Linked DNA regions of Caenorhabditis elegans. The protein of the gene in region 2 purifies or fractionates together with the protein of the main gene of each other region. This does not show direct contact. Each region holds a gene or a part of one and is shown on either strand. Other genes may lie near its edges. The genes, in order: ufm-1 and tbb-6.

Region 1 (3,278 bases), on a different chromosome or scaffold from region 2:
GATCTGAAATATGAATTCTTAAATCTTTGAATTGAAAGCATAGGTGTTTTTGGTAAAACTTAAACTTTTGACAAATAAATTAAAAAATAATTGGCAGCGTCTCGCATGCAATTGTTCTATTTACACAACGAGAAACTTGTAAAGAAAATGCGGTATCTATATAAATGTTTGAATCTTGTGTATTATGGGACGCATTTTTTATTTATTACGCTCTCTCGGAGACGTGATTTTAAAACTAAATGTTTCTTTTTCTAGTTTTTACCTGTCCATTTGGCATTGGCTCAGCGCCTTTCTTAAATCCAAGGTAGACCACAAACGGCACGAATCCCCATTGGATTGCAAATGTGGAAATATCGACTGTCTTACCGATGAAAGACTTGGTAGCTGGGGAGAGCTTCATCTTAAATAAAATAATATAAGACTAAAAGTAAAGTAGTTTTAAAAAAGTAAGATAAAATGCGGAAGAGCAACCAGTATTGATAAATTGATTGAACAAGTTTGAGAAAAAAGCTTCATAGCGTACTTTGGAAAGGGGAATTTCAATAAATTAATATTTAGAAGAATTTAGATATTCAAATCTGACTTAGCGAGTTTAGGATAGAAATGCACAGAGACATCACATTTTGTAAAAATAATTATGTCATAATACAGGAATGTAGACAACAATTGGCTTATGCTCAATGGCCGACGCGATCACGTGGAATCAGACGAAGTTCACTTCCGTGCTTCAAAAAAATGTTTCCGGCAGGTTGAGCTGGATTGACGCCAACTCCGTCGTTCGTAATGATTGCTGATGTAGCCGCAGGGACCTTGAATTCTTCAGCGGCAAACTTGAGAACGGCGGTGAATGGGGTACTTTCCGGCACGGAGAGGCTGAAAAATTAATGCATGACGCAAAACTCCAAATCAAAAGTAAACCGAAAATTTAAATATAAAAACTTACACCTTGAATGGGAGCTTCGGATCACTTGTTAGAGTGATTTTGAAGGTCACCTTGGAACCGGCAGTTGTTGCTGCTGTTCCACCCGACATTCCTGAAAATCTCTCGCATAAAATCAATAATAATCGTCCAGTTTGTTTGAAAAATTGTTTTTTAAAAAGTCGAACAAATTGATAAAGAAAAGGACATAACAGAAATGCACAAAATAACCTGAAAAACTGAAAAACAATAGGAGAGAAAAACTGGAAAAATGCCAAGTGTCTCTTACAAAACTCGGCCACTTGACGGAACCTAGGCCAGTGATGGCGTGATCAAGAACTATAATATAATTCAATTATTTTTCATATGTTAAAGTTCGAGTGAAATTTAAATGAAGATTGTAGTTCGAACGCTAGTATTTAGTGTACAAATACCACAAAAACGAGAAATACGTCTCTTCAAAATTCATTATGGAGTGATGGCCTAGGAATCTCCACGGGAAAATGCGGTAGAATATTTCTTGCAAGAACTTTCAGAGTATCGTGATTTTTATCACTTAATTTATCATTCAACTTCGCAATTAAGTTCTCAAAATTTTCTCATCTTTTGTCCGAATTAAAACTCATTTATTTTCAGAATGAAAGGAGCAACAAACTTATTTAAAAGCATGAGAAAACCTACGAACGTTGGAAATTTCCGGCAGTTTTCGGTGAATCAAGTCAATTCAGATAATAAACGGTCAGAGCCCGGAAAGAAAACACATTTTGGATTCACTGACGTTGATGAGGCAGAGAAGGAGCAGAAAGGTTAGCTGTTCGATTCAGAAACGTAAAAAAGCTGATAGCCACAAATAATAATCACAAAGTTCTCTACATAAAATAAGCCCTTTTCCAACACATCTATATAATTTACTGATACTATATGTCTTTTTTTAGTTCACCACGTCTTCGCAAACGTCGCGAAAAAGTACGATTTGATGAATGATGCAATGAGCATGGGAGTTCACCGATTATGGAAAGACTATTATGTTGGTGGCCTGCAAGTACCGTATAATGCGAAATGTCTGGATATGGCAGGAGGAACCGGGGATATCGCTTTCAGAATTCTCAGACATTCGCCTACCGCAAAAGTGACAGTTTCCGATATTAATCAACCAATGCTCGATGTTGGAAAAAAACGAGCGGAGAAGGAGAGAGATGTAATTGTTTTTGAAAAAATTCCATATCCTTAATGTATTACTTCAGATCCAACCATCTCGCGCGGAATGGGTATGCGCTAACGCCGAGCAAATGCCATTTGAGTCGAACACTTACGATCTGTTCACAATGTCCTTCGGAATCAGAAATTGTACACACCCTGAAAAGGTTGTTCGTGAAGCTTTTCGTGTACTCAAACCTGGAGGTCAACTTGCTATTTTGGAGTTCTCAGAAGTGAATTCTGCACTGAAACCAATTTACGATGCATACTCCTTCAATGTGATCCCGGTTCTTGGAGAAATTCTTGCCAGTGATCGTGCCAGTTATCAATATTTGGTTGAGAGTATTCGTAAATTCCCGAATCAAGACGAGTTTGCAAGAATAATTAGAGAAGAAGGCTTTAGTAATGTTCGATACGAGAATTTGACATTTGGAGTGTGCTCGATTCATAAGGGGATGAAACCAAGAAAATAATTTATTCCTGTTTGTTTGTTCTTTTTAAAATTTCATTTAATTCCATTTTTCTAGGTGATATTCAGTATTTTTCGTGTAGAATTTTTGCATAAATTTAATTAAAGTTGTTATATTTGTATTTCCTGACATCTATGATTCCGTGGTTTATTCCCGTTGTTACTCAAAAAATCTGAAAAAATTCATGTTTATTCCAACAATTTCAGATATGAAACTTCGAAGTGCTATTCAGCACAGTGTAAGAAACTTTTCCGCTGGGAAAGTCTTACTGTCAAGGTAATTTATAGATGATTTCAGACTCGATAATCATCATTTTTAAGATTCAGAAGCGCCACAACGCCAATATTGAAAGAAATTGGACTTCTCTTGCCATCAACTAATAAACCAACATTTGAAGCTGGACAAGTTGGTTGACTCAATCCAGTTATTTTGCAAAAATATTAAATTGCAGATTTTCATTCACAAAACATTTGCTTACAAAGGAGTCGTTGTTTGCTCTTTTCCATGTAGATTACATGAAAAAAGAAGTCAACAAAAGTAAGTAGCAATAAATTTCTGCTATTCTGATTTTAAATTTTTTTTTAGCGAAAAGCATCTTCTTACGCGTGATTTCTACCAAGTTCTCATTCATCGCTATGACTGGAGTCATATGGGATTCCCAGTAGATATTACATCGTATTTGGTAGATGCAC
Region 2 (4,575 bases):
TACTGTAAACCTGAGTGCCCGTATCATCCCTTCGGAGGAAACGAGATTGAAGTTCTAATTTTAACATTTAGTGAGAACATATTTCGAGTTGACAATAAAATTGAACTAACCACAGGAAGAAGAACGCCCACATGATGAAACAACGAGTAGAAAAATAGAAACTAAAAATAATTCAAATTCTTGTTTAATTGTTTTTTAAATTTAAATTTTCCACATCATTCACGTAGCCTGATTATTTTATCAGTAAAGGTTATCTAAATGTCAACATTCTGGCAAAATTGATTAAAACGATTTATTCCCTTCTTTTGAAGTTGAAGACCATTACCGTCGTTTTGAAGAATGATCAACGTCGACCCACCAACTGGAAACTTCCCTGCATCTGGAGGTAATTCGGTTCACAACATCGTCTCGGAGTCGGATTCTCGTTTGGCATTCAAGGTGAAATCGTCGAACAATGAGCACTACCGTGTTCGTCCCGTCTACGGATTCATTGATCCGAAGGGAAAAACCAAGTTGGATATCAATCGTATTGCTGGACCACCAAAAGTTGACAAGCTTGTCATTCAATATGCTGAAGTGCCAGCCGATGAGACTGATCCTCAAGCACCATTCAAAGCTGGAGCACAGCAAGGTGAAGTCATCGTGAAGATCACTGCCGAATGAGAAAATAGATCTAAATCACCAAATAATCTGAAACACTAAATAATAAATGATTATTATTTCCTGCCTTCGGGCTTTTTCTCGTTTAACTCTGCCTATGAATGTTTCAATCAATAAATATCTGAAACGATTATAATTCAACGTATAATATTGTTCATTATCTGATGTGGTTTCCCACTATATTTGGTAATCATTTAAGAAAATTTTTTCGATATCAAACTGAAATCTCAACACGGAGAAGTTAGGCTGAATGAACTTTCTCATATTGTTGGAACTCCGAGATAAGATCATTCACTTTGTTCTCGGCGTCAGTGAACTCCGACTCTTCCATCGTGTACCAATGAAGGAATGCTTTGCGACGGAACAGGCCTGTAGAGTAGTTTCATACAATTTGCTCTAACTTCTAAACTTATGAAATCTCACCTGCAAACTGCTTAGAAATACGTTTGAGTGGTTCCTGGATTGCAGTGGAGTTTGCAATGAAAGTAGCAGATGTCTTGAGTCCTCTCGATGGAATATCACAGACATCGGTATTTGTGCTCTTTGGTAAAGACTCAATCATTTCAGATGGATCTTCATTTTCCACACTGATGATTTGTTCAGCATCCTTCTTCTCAGTCTGTTGACCACGGTAAATAATAGCAGAAGACAAGAATTTTCCCTGATTATGGTTACAAGTCATTATATTCTTGGCATCGAGAACTTGTTGGGTAAGATCAGAAATACTGAATGCCTGACAATCTATAATTCCTTTTCCATATACTGGAGCGAATGAAGTCATGAAGAAATGAAGGCGAGGTGAACCTGCAGTGTTGAGCTTGCGAATATCCGTTTTCAGATTTCCTTTGAATCTTTGGAAAGTTGTTATTCCAGATAATGCAAGAGACGCTGAAACAGTAAGTTGTACAGAATGATTCTGAAATTAACTAATAAAACCTCAGCTCTCCAGTCTTACCAAGATGATTCAAATCACCGTATGTTACGCGATTTTCAAGTTTGAGATTGTATTGACAGATGTCGAAGATTGCTTCATTATCGATGCAGAAGTTCTCGTCACAATTATCCATGAGATGGGGCATGGAGAGAATTGCATTATATGGCTCGACAACCGTATCCGAAACTTTAGCAGATGGAATGATTGAGCACGTGCTCAGGGTTTTATCAGAATACTCTTCTCGGAGCTTTGAGATGAGTAGAGATCCTAATCCAGATCCAGTACCTCCACCCAATGAGTGAATAAGTTGAAATCCTTCCAGACTGTCAGCAGCTTCTGCTTCTCGGCGGATTACGCTAAGAACCTTATCAACGATTTCAGCTCCCTGCTCGTAATATCCCCTTGACCAATTATTTCCAGCTCCACTTTCTCCACTGACCGCATTTTCCGGATCAAACAGCTTTCCATATTGTGTAGAACGGACATAATTGATGGATTCGGGATCAAGATCTACCAAAATCGCACGAGGAACATACTTTCGACCTTAAATATGTTCAAAACAGAAGTAGAAGGAACAACGATTTTCTTAATTCCCTCACCTTCCATCTCCTTATAATAGGAAGTTATACGTTCAAGCTGGGAACCATTATCTCCTTTGTATGTCCCGTCAGTTTGAAGACCGTGCTCTTCCGATATGTATTCCCAGAATTTGGCTCCAATCTGGTTTCCACATTGTCCAACTTGAACGTTAATAATTTCTTTCATTGTTCTCTGCAATTGAGGGATTTGAAACACAATTATGTTTTTTAACCAAATAAAAGTGAAACATATTAAGTAATGTGTGTACCCAGTTTGAAAAATGGTAAATTTGCTCAGCATTGTGTCTCTTACATGTGTTAACTGAAGAAACAGAAAATTAATATTTTTAAAAAAATTAGAAAAAATTATGTTTACCTCTCTTTAAATACCTATTCCCTATTGCGAAATATAGTCTATTGCGAAATTGATCTGCAAGAAAACTGCGGAAAACTGAACACAAAACACAAAATAAGTTGTTTTCATTTCACGGAAAAAGATCAAAGGCACACAAACAGTAGACAGATGTTAAGTCACGACTCAACCATCAACTGATTCCCCTAAATAATCTAGTTAACCTGTATAAAAGTTTGTTTAAAGTGAGTATGCAAAACTTGAGATTTCAAAACAAATGTTATTAGTATTTTGATCTTGGTATTTCGAAATCTTTTTTGCATGATACAAGTTCCAACGATTGACATAGTCTCCTCGTTTTCGGGGAACTAGAAGTCTACACTCAAGTTTACAATACTGTAAGCGGTATTAAAACTATTAGTCCAACTGGAATGAACGTTTATTGAAGCTTTTCTGAGCAGTAACGGGATAAAAGTAGAAAAATTACATTTAAAGATGAATTGTTGTAGAACAATTATCACATTTTTTTTATTTTGTTGAAAAACTCAATGGATATTTAAATCCTACATAGTTTTTTCTAAAATGGTTTACAAAAACAAAAATAAAAAGCATAAAAACTAAAGCAATCGATGAATCAATTAGTCGAACCAAGGTATTTGGGTGATAGTTTTTTGGAAATTTGGAAAAATTCGGTGGAAACTCTGTTGAATATGTAGCTTCGATTGTGGAAATCAGTAGGTTCTCGGCGTTTTCTTTCGAATTTCTTAAAAGAGAAGAAATAAGAACAATGTTTTGATCCAGTCTGAAATTAGGAACAATTGAAATCACTCTGAAAATATTTTATACTTTGCATTCGGTTCCAGTCCTGTTTTGACGGCTTTCACAATTTTCGCCGGAGTTTCGATGTCAGATTTCGGAAGAATTTCAATTAATCCATTTTCAAAGGCAAGCTTTGCATTTCGGTGTTGGTCTCCAAATAGTGGAACTGCTAACACTCGAACTCCAGAATTAAATGCTTCAAGTAAGCTGTTCTGGCCACAATGGGTAACAAACAGGTCAATTTTGCTGCTAGCTGGAATTTTTCAAAAACGACTTTATAAAAGTACTGAAAATCACTCACCTAATAAATCAGTCTGCGGCAAAAACTTTTTGAAAATTATATTTGTTGTGAGCTCCTCCTGTTTTGTGAAATTATCTTCCATTTCATATTTCCATATGAACAAAACATTGTTCATTTGTTTCATTGCAGTCATCAACGAATTTTTCAAATTTTGAGGCATATGAGATGATGTGGCTGCAGTACCAAATGATACGAGCACTTTAGGACGAGGATCAGAGAGAAGAGTTTGATACTCCTGAATTAAAAATCAATACCACCATAATCTTATTGTAAAGCTTGCAAACTGCTTCAGGCGCTATTCAAAAAATTTGCAAAAAGGCAAAATACCATAGTCAAATTCTTTTGATCCTTAAAAGCAATCCCTCCAATATCAAAACTTCTTCGTCCTCTCATTCTCATTCCATCTGATCCTTCATGAATATTATAAAACAATAAATTTGCTTGTCTCATTATTTCACCAGTAGGTTTTTTCAATCCATAATATTTTTTGAAAAGCGGAGATATCATTGAGTCCTGCATTTCGTGGAAATTGAGCATTCCAGATAGAAACTTGAGATTTCTTCGTTTTTCAAAAAATGATAGGTAACTTCCATAATCCGATAATAGAGCTGAAATTGGTTTCATAGTAAATCATTTCCATTCTGTGTCAAACTAACATGGAGTGTTCAATGTATCAGATATTCCAAGTGTAATTGGGACAACATCCATTGGTCCAGTTGATGATACAATAACAGTCTTCTGTACACCGATTACCTCAAGAATACCGACTCCACAAGAATCGAATACTTCATGAATTGCAAAGTCAAATTTAATTTCTTGTAGTTTAGGAATCAGTGTGCTATTCTCAATTAGGTGAGTGCATTGAAGACGATGTACATGACCAAGGCCTTCCATTATCTAAAAAAAGAAGTTAGAATTGTAAACGTTTTAA

The links.
Region 1: the proteins of tbb-6 (region 2) and ufm-1 fractionate together in Caenorhabditis elegans (co-fractionation; one large-scale study listed by BioGRID). This does not show direct contact.

The regions. Positions count from the first base shown.
Region 1 is NC_003281.10:7,856,735-7,860,012, reverse strand, and holds ufm-1 (Ubiquitin-fold modifier 1), read right to left. Parts: upstream 1,035-3,278; 5' UTR 1,033-1,034; coding exon 944-1,032; intron 874-943; coding exon 678-873; 3' UTR 501-677; downstream 1-500. Other genes in the region: tomm-7 (Mitochondrial import receptor subunit TOM7 homolog), read right to left, coding at 1-3, 263-400; coq-5 (2-methoxy-6-polyprenyl-1,4-benzoquinol methylase, mitochondrial), read left to right, coding at 1,557-1,725, 1,855-2,117, 2,164-2,589; tag-307 (ApaG domain-containing protein), read left to right, coding at 2,771-2,862, 2,907-2,991, 3,038-3,123, 3,172-3,278. UniProt on the Caenorhabditis elegans protein: Ubiquitin-like modifier which can be covalently attached via an isopeptide bond to substrate proteins as a monomer or a lysine-linked polymer.
Region 2 is NC_003283.11:12,259,588-12,264,162, reverse strand, and holds tbb-6 (Tubulin beta chain), read right to left. Parts: upstream 2,633-4,575; 5' UTR 2,549-2,632; intron 2,366-2,548; 5' UTR 2,360-2,365; coding exon 2,194-2,359; intron 2,138-2,193; coding exon 1,616-2,137; intron 1,549-1,615; coding exon 1,084-1,548; intron 1,030-1,083; coding exon 902-1,029; 3' UTR 795-901; downstream 1-794. Other genes in the region: ssp-35 (MSP domain-containing protein), read left to right, coding at 340-663; Putative UDP-glucuronosyltransferase ugt-56, read right to left, coding at 3,053-3,326, 3,371-3,596, 3,645-3,879, 3,972-4,252, 4,301-4,541.